2 linked regions of the Pelodiscus sinensis genome follow. The protein of the gene in region 2 purifies or fractionates together with the protein of the main gene of each other region. This does not show direct contact. Links are inferred from orthologs where the notes say so. Each region holds a gene or a part of one and is shown on either strand. Other genes may lie near its edges.

What was found.
Region 1: the proteins of NDUFS7 (region 2) and NDUFAF4 purify together in Homo sapiens (co-immunoprecipitation; 4 studies listed by BioGRID and IntAct, counting the BioPlex papers as one, with this or other methods). This does not show direct contact. The link is inferred for Pelodiscus sinensis from reciprocal best matches to the Homo sapiens genes NDUFS7 and NDUFAF4.

Annotation. Positions count from the first base shown.
Region 1 is NC_134713.1:68,594,959-68,602,804, forward strand, and holds the start of NDUFAF4 (NADH dehydrogenase [ubiquinone] 1 alpha subcomplex assembly factor 4), read right to left. Parts: upstream 3,007-7,846; 5' UTR 2,866-3,006; coding exon 2,742-2,865; intron 1,161-2,741; coding exon 1,063-1,160; intron 1-1,062. UniProt on the Homo sapiens protein: Involved in the assembly of mitochondrial NADH:ubiquinone oxidoreductase complex (complex I). May be involved in cell proliferation and survival of hormone-dependent tumor cells. May be a regulator of breast tumor cell invasion.
Region 2 is NC_134729.1:17,276,544-17,284,010, forward strand, and holds the start of NDUFS7 (NADH dehydrogenase [ubiquinone] iron-sulfur protein 7, mitochondrial), read left to right. Parts: upstream 1-4,460; 5' UTR 4,461-4,563; coding exon 4,564-4,579; intron 4,580-7,467. UniProt on the Homo sapiens protein: Core subunit of the mitochondrial membrane respiratory chain NADH dehydrogenase (Complex I) which catalyzes electron transfer from NADH through the respiratory chain, using ubiquinone as an electron acceptor. Essential for the catalytic activity of complex I.

The DNA of each region.
Region 1 (7,846 bases), on a different chromosome or scaffold from region 2:
GCCTTCCCTTATCAACTAATCGTCTACTTGATACAAATTGTATCGACTACACTATTTGCCAATTACCCGCCTCTTAACATCCTTATTTTACATGCATACCACATAGACAACTGCTGTTAGATCATCCGTTTCATACAAAAACAATATAAATAAAACATCTTACCATTTCCTCACCCAAACAGATACACAACTTCACTTAAAAGGACACCAACATTTTAAGTGATATTTTAATAATTTCTTTATTTCTGGTACTAGCTTCTTTGCTCTCCACACAAGCTCCAATTTCCTCTACCACATATAGAATCAACAGGAATTCTATTTCCCGTCTAATTTCCTATTTCCCTTCCACAGACTGGCTGATTAAACTTCTGGAAACCCAAATCTGTGAACATATTTTAGAGGCTGTGGCACAAGGAAGGTGCACTCAGATAAGAGTCTCTGTGATAGATGAAGATGCCTGTATAGACAACTTCATAGAAAGGAAGGAAAGCTGAAACCATAAACAGAGGCTGATGACACTCTTAAATAAATAAGGTAACCCTGAAATTATAAAACATCAATAAAAAAATCTCAATTTAATCTATTAACAGCTACAGGCTGGACCTCCTGGTCTGACACTCTTGGGACCAAGGCAGTCCAGCCATAGTAGACAGGGCTGCTTGCCCCCAGCCACTGGGGATTTTCTCCAGGCTGGTCTCACTCCAAATCACAGCAGGACTCCCTGCCCCGGCTGAAGAGGTTTTTCTCCAGGCTGATCTTACTCTATCTGCGGAGGCAGGACTCCCTGCCCCCAGCCTGCCACTGGCCTGCTGGATGGGCTCCCTGCCCCAAGGCTACTGGCTCTACAGGTGGCCAGCCATGGGCAAACTCTGTGGCTGGGGCTCACTGGCCCTGCAACATTGGACCACAGACATTGCAGGATCAGAGAGTTGAGGACCACAGAGGTTCAACGGTGGAGTAAGCTGCTAAGCCTATTCATCACATAAGCATTGGTACGTTATTAATTTTGTCATCTGAAAAATGCTTGCTGCTATAATCATAGCAGAAGGAAGACATGCTCACTTGTACAGGTGGATCTCTGGAATCAACATAAACCTCTTTCAGTAAGGTAAGAAGTTTGTCATCTTTTCTGCGGATTTCCTCTTGGAGGTCTGAATAGTCTAAGAAAAAAGATTTAAAGCAGAAAATCATTTACTTGCACACATATTCTTGTTGGCTTATACCCATAAGACATCACACAACTCAAGTGAAAATTAATGCATGTGAAGACAGTGTAAATACTTTCAGGGAAATCAGATTTCCATGTTATTTCTAATATTCACAATACTTAATCCCTCATACACAAGGAAAAGAGAATTTATTATGCCTATTCAAGAGGAAAAGAGTAGCAATTTTAAGCAATTAGGCCAGGTCTAGAATAGGCCAGGTCTAGAGGTAGCAAGGGGGGCAGGGAGAGGAAGGGGTGTTTCAAAGCTGCAGCGCCATGTGGAGCCCATGGCAAGACCCTGGGCTCCATGCGGTGCTGCCGTCTTGAAATTCTGCATGCAGTCCACGGCCAGCTGGGGAGTCCCCAGCTGGCCCAGGTTGCACGTGCCATTTCAAAATGGCAGCACCACATAAAGTCCAGAGTCTGCTACTTTGCAACGCTGCGTGGAGCCCAGGGTTGCAAATGGCATTTTGAAGTGTCAGCACTGTGTGGAGCCTGGGGTCAGCTGGGAATTCCCAAACTGACCTCAGGCTCCATGCAGCACTGCTGCTTTGAAATGCTGCAGGGAGCACGGGGCCAGGGCGGGGGGACTGCTTGAGTCCCCCACAGATCCCATGCGCTCTGCAGCACTTTCACCTTTGAAATGTAGCAACAGCCCTGGAGACTGTTGCTACACTTCAAAGGCAGAGGCACCCTTATTGATTCGCTGAATAGTCAATGCAAATTGCATCAACTATTCAATTAGCCAATTAAATTTAACATCCCTACCACAGAGCCACCTGCCACCCCCTATCCTCCCATGCTGCTGCCTCTCAAAGAGACAGAGACAAATTTCATACCCTGCAAGATATAATTAGGTCAACCTAACTAACATCCAGTGTAGACACAGCTGGGAATTATCCTAATGACCTATCTATCTACCACCTTGTGGAGAGGTGGATAACTTTAGTGACTCTTCCCTTAACGTTATCCTGGTTAACATTGTTCCATTGCTTACTGATTAGAGCACATGCTCGGTTAGAGATGTTAAAATGTGCTTAAATAACCATGTAACCCTCCTCGCCTGGGGAGGGAAGGCTGGTGGGTTCAAGTCCCAACCTGTTCCATGCATGGGGCAGTCGGCTCCGCAGGAGCTGGGGGACAGACTGGCTTCCTCACAAAGTCACACAACCCACAAGTAAACCAGGCTGAGACGCGAGGACCCCACCCGCCAGCCTATGCCCTGGATCAGCAGCGTCCAGCCAAACAACAAGGCTGAAGGTAGCAGCGGGCAGGATTAGGGGTCACTGTCCGCAGCAGCCCGCGGCCGCTCCCAGCTCCTGGGCTCCTCGCAGCCTGCAGGGCTCCGCTGGGGGAGACAACCAGCCCCTCCGTCAACTGTCCCCTCCCCGCCCCGTAACCCGCCACAGCCCCCAGCCCTGCCCACTACCCCGCACGTGCCCCAGCGCCCCGAAATCCACCTTTAGCAGCCCCTCCCCCCGCGGCGCGTGCCCCAGCCCCCTGCCGCCCCTCCCCCCGCGGCGCGGGCGCTCACCGGGCAGTGCGCGCGGCGCGGCGCGGTGCCGGGGGGCCGGCGTGGGCTTGTTCTTGCTGATCTCGCGGCTGGCCCGGTTCTCCAAGTTGAAGTTGCGGAACGCGCGGGTCACCCTGGCGCCCATCGCCTCCGCGCAGCGCCGGCCCGCGCATGCGCCACCGACCCGCCCGCCAGCGCCCCACCTAGCGGCCTGGAGGACCCCTGGCAGGCGCGGGGGCGGGGCTGAGCGCTCAGGCTGCTCGGCGGGGCACTGCTCCGCTCTGCCTCAGTTTCCCCATCTGTAACTCGTGCGGCGGCTGCTGCTGCTCACGGCAAGGCGTGGCCGGGGTAACGATACTCTGAGCCCAGCGCCGCCTACTGCTCGCTCGCGCCCGCCCGCCCGCCCGCCGCGGCGTATGGGGCCGTCCCAGGGCGAAAGTGACTTAAATGCGGGCGGGGCTGTCGCTGCGGGCAGCACAGGGAATGTACGTGGGGCCGGGGCGATAGGTGAGGCTGCGGCGCGGCGCGGGGTGTGTGCAGGAGTCGGGGGAGGGGTGGGAAGTGTGGGGGGCTCAAGGCAGAAATGTGGGAGGTGCAGGAGTCAGGGCAGGGATTAGGGGGGGGGTACTCGAGGCTGTAGGGCAGTGGGGACTATGCTGCTGGAACCGGGGCTGTGGCACTGGGCTGCCTAGGGTGAGCCTCCACAGTGCCCTTACCTTGAAATGAGCGACCACCATTTGCACTGTGCAAATTGCAGTAACTTATTTTGAGAGAATTTCAAAACGAAGCACTATTCCAAAATGTCCCCTACCCCTCGTGGAAGGAGGGTTACAGGGATGCCGGAATAGCGTGCCTGTTGTTTTGAAATCTATTTAGAAATAACAGACTGCTTTAAAGATGCAGAATAGCTAATAGCTTCTGGTATCCTGAAATAACTCCACAATGTAGATGTAGCCTAGCTGTGCTGTGGCCACGCTGCCCAGGGACCGTGGCTGCTGGCTAGGGCTAACAGGGCTGGGTCCTTGCCTTCCCCACACCCAGCTGTCTGACGCTGGGGCTGACAGCCATGAGGGAGCAAGGGAGTGGTTTGGGCTTTGGCTGTGGAGGATGGGGGCCAGAACAGGAGGGGTTAGCCAAACATGCCCAGCAGCAGGTCTGGAACCTTACCCATGGACAGTGTCCGACAGCATCCAGAGCCCCGCCCTCAACCAGCCACTCTCTTAAGGGTTTGCCACACTGGGATGCACCAGTTTTTCACTTCTGGTTCAGACTGATCTCAGCAGAGGCACTTCTTTTTCAGGTTACCTATAAATATACTGTGAGTATGATGTCTCTAAGGCAGTGTTTCTCGAACTGTGCTCCGCAGAGCCCCAGGGCTCCGCGAGACATCTCCAGGGACTCCACGAGGTTGACAAACTGGAAACATCGATAGGTACAACACATACAATCAGTGGACTGCTGGGGCGCCGCATAAATTTTTATGCATGTAAAGGGCTCCGGAGCCCAAAAAGATTGAGAACTGCTGCTCTAAGGTTTAAATTAATTTGTAAAAATAAAAGAAGGTTGTTCTCCTGCCACAGCAGTAACTGTGAACTCCGTTATTGTTTCATATGGGGATATTAAAATGCATGCAGTGTACATATATTATATATGTATTTCTATGTTATATGAAAACTCAGATGCATTTGAATGTTATGCAAAAACCAGGGCTCGACGACTGTGGCGAAAATCCACTTGCCAACCCCGCACCGCACATGCGCCAGACCCACATTGCGCATGTGCGCACCGCCGGTGAACAGGGCGACCAGCTGAAATCCTCGCCACGGGCGAGTAGATAAGTGGATTTGTTGAGCCTTGGCAATAACAATAATAGATCTGTCTGTTACTGCTGATGTGAAAGAACATTTTTCTTTCTTTAGGCCTACAAACACTTATGAACATGACATGAGTGGTCCTATGTCAGTCAACAGGGCTTTTTATGTGGCTAAAATCACTGATTTTCATAAGGGTATGTGAGACCTGTTTTTTTTTCCCCTTGATTTTTAGCTATGCCCAACACCCAGATCTCAGATTGAAGTTAATGGAAGCTGTGGGTTTTCATCTAATTGAGAATCAAACCATGTGTTTAGTCTTGGAGTCACTTTCTTGAGATAAAGTTGGAAATATCCTCATGTTGTCAGACTGGGGTAGGTTTTCCACCTTCCAGAGTTTTGATAACCAGAATGCCCACATCTTTTCATCTTAGTATTAGCTTTGGTACAGCATAGGAATTAGGGATATTAATGTGTATTTGTATACATGGTTAACTGATGTGCCTTGGCTCATCAATTACAGGAGGCCCCCAACTTGCAACGTGATTGGCTCCACGAGAAGCATTGCAAGTTGGGGGTGTTGTAACTCAAACCCTCATTTACAATAGGTGCTGTGCACCACTGTAAATGCGGGCTGAGGACATAAGTCAGGGGTTTCTGGCCCTTTCTACACTTACAAAAATGGTTGAAAGTGTGGGGGGTCAGAACTCGGATGGTCGCAAGTCGGGGGCCTCCTGTAACCTGCACCATTACATGCACCTCCCACCCCCACCTCTGTATCAGAGGCAGCAGCATGGGGTAGGGAGGAGCTGGTGTTGGGGAGAGCTGCCTTAAAAGCTGGTTCCTCACAAGTACCAGCTTCTGCGGAGCCACCAGTTCCCCCATGCTGCTGCCTCTAGTTGGGGTGGCTTTCAAACTAGCTTCCCACATGTACCAGCTCCTGTATAGCTGCTTGCTGCCTCTATATCAGCATCTACATTAATTTTAAACATCTTCTTTGTGTTTTTTAATTGGTGAGTTTATTAGGATAAAGGTACCATTTAAGTATTTCTGATGACCTTTCTCATCACTGCTATTCTGTGATTGGAAAGTGTGTGATTTTTTCTATACAGGTACATCATTGTTCTCATCAATGACATTATGACAGTTTTAGGAGGCAATGCTGTATGGCAGGGGTGGGAAAACTTTTTTGGGTCAGGAGCCACTGACCCATAGAAAAATAAGTTGGGGGCCACACACAAGTGAGATGTAAAACAAAACAAAAACTCAAAACTCACTGAGACAGCCCCTGACTGAGAAGGAGAAAGATAGTCTCCACATTTCCTTCACTCACCAGAGCTTTGGGGAACCCAGCCTTGTAAATTTTGTGTGTTCCAGCCCTGCGGAGGGACAGTAGGAGGGCTAGAGCACCAGTGTGGGCTCCCCAATGCTGGGGGTGGGGGGTAGGAGGAGTCCTGAGCCTTGGGAGCTGGATTTAGGCAATCTGGAGACTGCATCTGGCCCCCAGGCCTTAGGTTTCCCCACCCCTGCTGTATGGATACGTTATGTGCCCTATGTTGGAGTTTTTCAGAACAACAAATTATTACAGGATGGCAGTCTGTGGGCTAGCTTGTGTCACAGGACTGACTAAGGACAGTGTGAAGGTACAGTACCTCTCTCAGATCCTCATTGAGCAAAGAAAATGCAGCATTTGCTCTCAGCACATCCATCCAGTTCTACTGACCTACATGCCAGGGAATTGGGAAGGGAGTATCTACATCAAAACCATAACTCGTGGTAGTACATAAAGATTGCTACTAGCTTGGGCCCTATTGTGTTATCAATATATGTATTTACACATAATAAATGCCAGTCTTTTCCCCAATGAATTTACAGTCTGAAAGACAAGACATAATAGGTAGATAAGATAAATGGGGTGGCAGAGAGAACAAGTAGCAAATAAAACAGGATTTGCATCTGGGGTTACTAAGCTCTTTCTGGGGTCCTGGAAGAAGTAACCATTGTATTCCCCCAATTCAAAAGCTCAGGTCTTCCATCTCTCTTATGTAATGATATAGACATAAAATTGCCCTAAAGCCATATTCTGTTGGGATCTAGTTTAGAAACCACTACACAGTATACATAGTAATAGGAACATAGGAATTGCCAGACTGAATCAGACCAACGATCTGTCTAGTTCAGGATCACTAGGAAGTTAGTGGGTGACTTGGTTATGCTTTGAAGCACAAAGATTTCTAACTCATAAATGTTTATCTTGTAATGTAACTGTCATTTCTTGTTCGTATGAATGTCTTTTCTTGGTGTTCAGAGATCATTGTTGGTACAATATTCATTACTATCCCTTTAAGAGAAGTCACAAATCATCCATCTGCCTATTGACTGAAGGCACTGACCTTAATTTGAAACAAAAGAAAGTGCCTTTTGGCACCAGAAATTTCTGGCTACTGGAATCAGACTCAGCACAGTACTGCTGTGCAGTTTCTTTAAAGCCTGATGTGACTAACACTCCTGTGGTATTGCCAGCAGCAGACAAACTCACCAAAAGGCAGCCAGTTAGTTAAAAATAAAGAGTGATGTCATTCTATGTCTGTCATTTCCCATCACTAAGCATGTTACCAGGCTGTATGTTTCATTGATTGGGAATGACCAGGACTACAAGATTTTCATTCTAAGTCTGGAATCTTTCATACTGACTGCAACAAGTAAAATATTTGAAATGTTTGAATTGAAGATATTTTCATGGCATAATTAGGCATTTTATCAATGTAGCTGTATCATTGATAGAAACACTTTACCTAGTCCCACACCTGCATTCTTAGTTAAAAAGTTGTGATTATATTTTTTCTTGTAAGATAAAGTCTGTATATTCTATTTGTCCCGTTTTATAAGAGTGTTTCATTGCCACTGAATGAGTAAGCTTATCTGAATTGTTCTGGGGTATTTGTAGTAAACAGTGTGATTCCTTGCTTTCCCATATACCAAAATGAAGACCATAAGCACATAGGAACTGCTGTGCTGGAACAAACCAGTGGTTCTAGTCTGATATCTTGTCTCCGATGGTCTCCAGCAGCAGATGCTTCAGAGGAAGGTGCAAGAAACTTTGTATTAAACAGATGAGGGATACTCTTCCCACACACACATACACGCATACCTGGTCTCATCCCTCCAACATCTACAAGCAGACTTATTGAAATTGCTCAGCAATTGCAGGAAACAAAACTGTTTGGAGAAAGAAAAACACTGGTGAACATTTTCTTTTCCATTTTCATCAAAGTGTTTGAATTTTTTTCCAGACAGCTCTGTAGCTGGATGGAA
Region 2 (7,467 bases):
GATTTCTGAGACTTGGTGCTTTCTCCTTACAATGTGCAAACTTCTTATTCAGAAGTGAGATGTAAAAAACCCTAATACAGTCACTGTTACCAGAGAAAATGGGCTACACCAGATGTAGATTTCTTAAAGTTGGAGGGAAGGCTTCTATCACAATGTGATCTTCATTTCCTCTTCTGAAATAAATCATAACCACACATGCACTTTTTATCACTGTTGCCATATTTATAGGACTTCTAAACAATGCTACAATAACTAAAATTCTCGTGTTCTTGAATTACAATCTGAGGAGATGTAACCTCAACAATTCTGATGCCTTATTTTGATGCCTTATTTATATATATCACGCTCTTTCCCCTGTTCATTTTTCCTCTCTCCTTGTCTAATCACATCTTGCAGTAAGATTTTTTTTAAAGTACAAACTAGTACTAATGTCCAGTCTAACTGCACTTTAACCAAGAGTGGATTGTCCTAAAGTAGTGTGTAATGTTGGAGTTTCTTATTTTAATGTGCCTAAGACAATTTAGCCTTGAAAATAATTAAAAACAAAATGGAAACATGATTACATTCAAGAAATCAAAGGCTAGATCGGTTTTTTACTACTATTTTTTTTGGGGGGGGGAAGGGTTATGAGTATGTTAAGGCTGAATTCTGTTCCCGGACCCACATTTGGCTGTTACAGACTTCAGTGAGTGCTGCACATATGTATCCAAAGGGTTAATTGTGTCAGTAGATTTCATTGTGATAACACATTTTTCACTCATGTAGAAAGCACATAGACCACTTCTGTACAATACAGATAAATCTGAAGACCACACTTTAACTTCCATGCTAAGATAGTATATTACATTTAACAGTATACATTCAGTATTCATTTTCTTTTGTGTAGCGTATTTACCTTTCTGTGCTATTCTGTGTGACTTCAGTTTCTTAAATACTAATAAACTGGTACCTGATGAGAGATGAACTCTACAACACTTATTAAAATTAAATTCATGTGTGTCAAATACAGCTGATTGTGCTCAGTAAACAAATTTCTAGGAGCATGTTGTATTGTCCGAAGGTTCCAGCTATGAGTATATCCAATACCATTAAATGTATTTGATACAGTATTTGAGATTAAATATTTTGTTGATATTGTAAGATAAATTGGGTGAATGTCAGAAAGTAGTGACCTCTACTGCAATTTTTAATAAAGCAGAATAACCAAAAATCCTGAATTTTAATGAGCTTATTCATTATAGGTGGGTACAGTTGCAAGCTATCTTGTATTAATAAGTGCACCTTTTGTGAGAATTGAAATATAGCCCTTCCACTATTCTTTCAGAAAAATGATTTCTTTTGAAGTTCCTGAGGACAGGACAAGAATCAATGGGTTTAAATTGCAGCAAGGGAGGTTTAGGTTGGACATTAGGAAAAACTCCCTTAGGGTATGTCTACACTACCCCCCCTAGTCCGAACTAGGGGGGGTAATGTAGTCATACGGAGTTGCAAATGAAGCCCGGGATTTGAATTTCCCGGGCTTCATTTGCATAAAGCCGGACGGCTTAGGCTTCCTAATCCGAACTAGCTAGTCCATGCCGCGTGTAGCCGTGCGGCACGGGGTCCGAACTAGCCGGCATTTAAAAATGGCGCCGTCCGGCTTTATGCAAATGAAGTCCAGGAATTTAACTACTAAAGCGTATATCAACAGAAGACCATTATATTGACTCCTTTTTTTGTTTTGGCTTCACAATTTTAACAAATCAAACAAAAACTGCCACTACAGCACTGGAGTTTACTGAGGTATAAGTACAATCAATGTGAAGATTGTATCTGCAAACTTTTCACCAGCTATTTCAGATCAGGCTCAGATCAGGCTTGTATTCTGTTGTAGCAGCCGGGAGACAGTTAGTCACATGCCCACAAGGCTAAGGAGCCAGCACCTCTGCCCTGGGAGCTAGAAACACTGACACCCTGTACCCGCCTGTTCTGGCCAGCCCATCTGCTTGTGTCTTTCAATGCTTGACACGTTGTGGAGGCCATGTTCAAAGGATCCCATCCCTGGGCCGCCTGTTGAGCCCCACGCAGGGCCGGATGGAGGCAGGGGCGAGCTGGGCAGCTGCCCAGAGCGCCAACCCACAGGGGGCGCCTGATGGCAGCTGTAAGGGGTGCACGGCGTCCCTTACAGCTGCCATCAGGAGCTGCGCGCCTGGCTCCTGCAGTGCCCTTGCCCCCCCGGCTGTGGGGCCCTGCATGACCTGGCACTTGCACCAGCAGCCCAGGCCGGGCTGGGCAGCGTATGCGCTGTGCGTCCCGGGGGTGGGCCCCGGGCTGCATGCCAGCGACCGTGATCGGCCTGCGCATGTGCCGAGCATCCCAGGGGCGCCCGGGCTTTGCGCCAGTGGCTGTGGCTGGCGCGTGTGTGTGCCCTGCACCCCAGAGGCATGCCCATGCACACTGGAGGGGTGGGCCTGCGTATGCACCCTGCGCCCGGGGGCGGTGCCGCATGCCTGGATCGGCTGGCAATGCTCCTAATGCAACTTAATATGCCATTAGCCTTCTTGGCTACAAGGGCACACAGTTGACTCATCCAGCTTCTCATCCACTGTAATCCCCAGGTCCTTTTCTGCAGAACTACTACTTAGCCAGTTGGGCCCCAGCCTGTAACAGTGCACTTGTCCTTGTTGAACCTCAAACCCAAACCACATGGCGGCCGCAAACAAACAGGCTGCAGGCCATGTGTTGAGTAGCCCTAGACTCTAGGGGAAGGTGCCTGTGGCTTTTGGACAGCTCCTGGAGCCCCTGCACCCATCCTCATTCTCTTGGGCTTCTGGCCCTAACCCTAAAGTTCCAAGTGTTCCCAACAACCTAAAGATATTTTATTTCATCTGATGTGTTTTTGCAGAGAGGGGGGATTAACTGCTACAAGTTTTAAGAAAAAGGAGGTGGGTGGTTTTTTTAATCCTTCCCCCCAAAAATCCAACCTCTGGCATGTGTGGCCCTGAGCCAATTTCTGATCTGCAGAAGCCGAACTCAAAGGGGAAATTGCAACAGCCTCTTAGCTTGTGGGGATCAGCAGGTGAAACATTACCTGGGAGCAAACAGCCCCCCAAAACCGCCTGGCCACTCAGCCGGGAACTGGATGAAGTGCATCCGCCCAGCGATATGGAAACTCTAGTAAAACTAATCTCCTAGAAGTAAGGAAAACATCTGCCGAAACCCGGGATCGAACCAGGGACCTTTAGATCTTCAGTCTAACGCTCTCCCAACTGAGCTATTTCGGCTGCTTGTTCTGTGTGCTTGTTCTGCCTTGCCCTGAAATTGAAGATTGATTCTCGTTGGCTTCAGATCATGGGGTTTTGGCTAGAGGGCTCTGGTGTCCGTGCAGCTCATTGCCCGTGTACACAAGGCGGCACGTCCTCCCTGTTACCCCCAGCCATCAGCCTAGCTGTACCAAACACAGGAAGACACTGGCCAGGCCCCCAAGGACCTTAGCCCGGGGAAGCCATGCAGGGCAGGGATGCCTCTGTCCCCGCAGAAAAACGTCAGTGGAATTGACGTGATTACAGATTAATTGAACTGGAGCAACTGCTGTCCTGAAACACGTCAGTGACACCGGCCTCCAGGGTGGGTGGAGAGCGGGTGAGCCTGTCTGCTTGGCTTCGGCAGACCCCTCGGTATTAGCTGCATGGCCCTGCAAGATGCAAGCTCTCTGAGTCGGGGGGGGGGGGCAGCCGAGGTGTCACCTTCAACACCCCCCTCCCCCCCAGCCCTGGAATCAGGCGTGTTGCCTTGTTCTCCAAAATCCCTGAATTCCCAGTCTCTCTCTCTCTCTCTCTCTCTCCCCCCCCTCCCCCCCTTGAAGTTCTTAAGGTGTTGCAGAAATCTCCCGAACAGCTGGGTCTCTGTGGCGCAATCGGTTAGCGCGTTCGGCTGTTAACCGAAAGGTTGGTGGTTCGAGCCCACCCAGGGACGCGGCCGGGATCTTTTTTTGGCTGGGGGAGGCGAGGGAAGAGGGGGGCTGGGGCTGGGGAAGAGGGGGGCTGGGGCTGGGGCGGGGGAAGAGGGGGGCTGGGGCGGGGGAAGAGGGGGGCGGGGGCGGGGCTGGGGCTGGGGAAGAGGGGGGCTGGGGCGGGGCTGGGGAAGAGGGGGGCTGGGGCGATGCAGAGGGAACGGCCGAGGTTGCAAGTGGGGAGCTGGGATTCGGGCAAAGGAAAGAAAAGCCGCTCCCAGGCGGGGGGGGGGGGGGGGGGGCAGGCAGGAGCTGCCCCTGCTCCACGTGGAGCAGGAAAAGGGGCAAATCCCCCCCCCCCCGCAGCCCCGCCCTAGCGCCTTTGCTTTGCACCGCCAGCCCCGCCGGGAAAGCCCCGGGCCCCTTCGTTGCAGGGGCCTGCCCCACCGCCAGTCCGCGCACCCGGCACCCCCACATTTATCCTCCCCCACCCGCCAGGTCCCCTGGGCCCGGCGGAACCCGAGGGGCGGCCCGTGTTTCCCGGCGGGCGGGGACCGGAAGTGGCTGCACCGGGCCCGGGCGGACGGTTTAGGCGGCGCGCGGCCCGGGCGGGCAGAGGTTGGCTGAAGGGGATGGCGGCGCTGGCTGGTGCGTGGGGGCTGCGGCGGGACAGCGCCCCCTGGGGCATGGGGAGCCCGGGCCCGGCTTCTTGCCTGGGAATGGGGGGCGGGGCCAGGCTTCTTGCCTGGGGGGGCCTGGGAATGGGGGGGCGGGGCCAGGCTTCTTGCCTGGGGGGGGCCTGGGAATGGGGGGGCGGGGCCAGGCTTCTTGCCTGGGGGGGGCCTGGGAATGGGGGGGCGGGGCCAGGCTTCTTGCCTGGGGGGGGCCTGGGAATGGGGGGGCGGGGCCAGGCTTCTTGCCTGGGGGGCCTGGGAATGGGGAGCCCGGGCCCGGCTTCTTGCCTGGGAATGGGGGGGCGGGGCCAGGCTTCTTGCCTGGGGGGGCCTGGGAATGGGGGGGCGGGGCCAGGCTTCTTGCCTGGGGGGGGCCTGGGAATGGGGGGCGGGGCCAGGCTTCTTGCCTGGGGGGGGCCTGGGAATGGAGGGGGCGGGGCCAGGCTTCTTGCCTGGGGGGGGCCTGGGAATGGAGGGGGCGGGGCCAGGCTTCTTGCCTGGGGGGGGCCTGGGAATGGAGGGGGCGGGGCCAGGCTTCTTGCCTGGGGGGGGCCTGGGAATGGAGGGGGCGGGGCCAGGCTTCTTGCCTGGGGGGGGCCTGGGAATGGGGGGGTGGGGCCAGGCTTCTTGCCTGGGGGGGGCCTGGGAATGGGGGGGCGGGGCCAGGCTTCTTGCCTGGGGGGGGCTGGGAATATGGGAGGGCGGGGCCAGGCTTCTTGCCTGGGGGGCCTGGGAATGGGGTGCGGGGCCAGGCTTCCTGCCTCGGGGTGGGGCTGGGAATGGGGTACCGGGCAGGGCCAGGCTCTGAAGAAGGGGGGGTGCTCCCTTTTCTCATGGGGGGGAGGGTCCCCCTGTCCAGTGGGCTCGGCCCAACTCTGTGGTGGAAAGATCCCTCCCCTGGCCCCCCAGCTGAGGGGTCTGGGTGGCGGGTCTCCCCGGTGGGGTGTCTGTGTTTGCAGCGGGGAGGACACGGGGAGGGACGGTACCATCTAATCGTCCTTCCATGAGGGCAGGGGACTGGACTTGATCTCCCGAGGTCTCTTCTGGTTCTAATATTCTATGTCTGGGTGACGCGCATTGCAGGACCCGCTTATAAAGAGCCTTGGAACTAGCTCGCCCCTCCCTCCAGCCTGCCTGTGGATTTTGGCAGCGTGACCCACTGGGATCTCGTGGGCACCAGTGCCAGGGACCGCTCGGTGGGGCTTGTCTGACAAACTCACACAGGTGGCAAGTCCTGGGCTGTGGATCAACAGGCTGCAGGGTGCTGCGCAAACCCAGAAAGGCTCTGAACTAGATTGGAGGGAGGGGTGAATGCCAAGCCGGGCTGGGGTTTTCCTACCCCCTCGCTGCACCCATGGGCTTGTAGCTACTTGCATGAGATTATAAACCTCTCATTAGTATACCACTGCAAAGCAAGAGTGTAATGATTCCAGCACAGCCATGCCAAAACTCATATTTTCTCAATAAATTAAACCCTTCCCTTGGTTACTACTCGGTTAAAACAGCAGGGCCCTCAAACATTTATTTATTTGCCATTTCTGCTTTTGCCCTTTAAGGGTTATGGCTTTGCTGCTTGAAATAGGCTCTTGGATTTGTCCCCCACCCCTCAAAAAAACCCAGGCTGTCATCTTTTATCTACTGAGGCCGTGTTTAAAAGTTTTGTGGCCTCCTCCCAGTCTAGCCCTAGAAAAAGGGGGAGTGTTGTGTTACCCTGACACCTATTTGTGACCCCCTAACCCAACTCCCCATTGTAAAACCCAGGCTGAAAAGCCCTGCTTTTGGCCCCGTGTTTGGTTTTGGTGGCAAATGCTTTGAAGAATGGCCACACTTAAATGACTGCTTTAATTTATTTTCATGCTAATAGGGTTATCTTTGTTAAAGTTATTTCTAAACGATCTCCTGCTCTGAGCTTATATTTGGGGGCTAAAGTGCCAGCTTTAAACGGCTCCAAAATATAGGAGATTAGGCACATCAGGGTCGACTAGGAGAATAGTTTGTATCTGTTTTTTTTATTTGTACTGCTGAAGTATCTAGGAGCGCAGTCATGAACCAGGCTGCACTGAACTAGGCCCTGCAGAAACACAGAACAAAAAGAGCTTCCCAGCCTAGAGAGCTGGCAGTCAAAGTCCAAAAGACAAGAAGACTGGGGAGCGCAGAGACCCGATATAACAGTGCTGGCCAGCACGATCAGTGGTAGTTTCCGCAGCCTGGCTCTTGTCAATTTTTTGTAGGGATATGGCAAAGGGGATTTTTCAGGAGGGATTTGAAAGAGCAGAATGAGGTCGCTTTGGTGACGTTTACAGGGAGCGCCTCCCATGAGGGAGGGCCAAATGGATAGGGATACACAGAGACAGAGGCACAATTCACAAAAACAAAATAACAAAACCCAGTTGCTCCACCGTCCCCAAATATTACGCTGCTGTCCCAATCCTGTCGGGGTACTAGGTTGCTGACTTCCACGCATGCTAGTGCTACCTGCTGGCTGTCAGCGTGTGAGGCAGTTTGACCGTGCCAAGGTGGGTAAGCGAGTAATTTTTATTGAACCAGCCTCTGTGGGTGAAAGAGAGAAGCTTTCGCGCTCCACAGAGATCTTCCTCTGGTCTGGGAAACCAGCTAACGAACTGAGTGGGTCACAAGGGAACAAACTGTATAGCATCAGTGGTTAACGCATTTCAAGGGACCGTATAAGTCACTAACCAGTGAATTGTAGGGCATACCGTCGTTTAATGACACTTTGTATTTGGACAGAGGCATGGTATGATTTGCTTCAAGTGCATTGCTCTTCACACACCATTCTGTGTGCGTTTGTTTATCGCTTTGTGTGGTTTCAGGGCTAATGTAGTGGATGAATATGACTTTGGG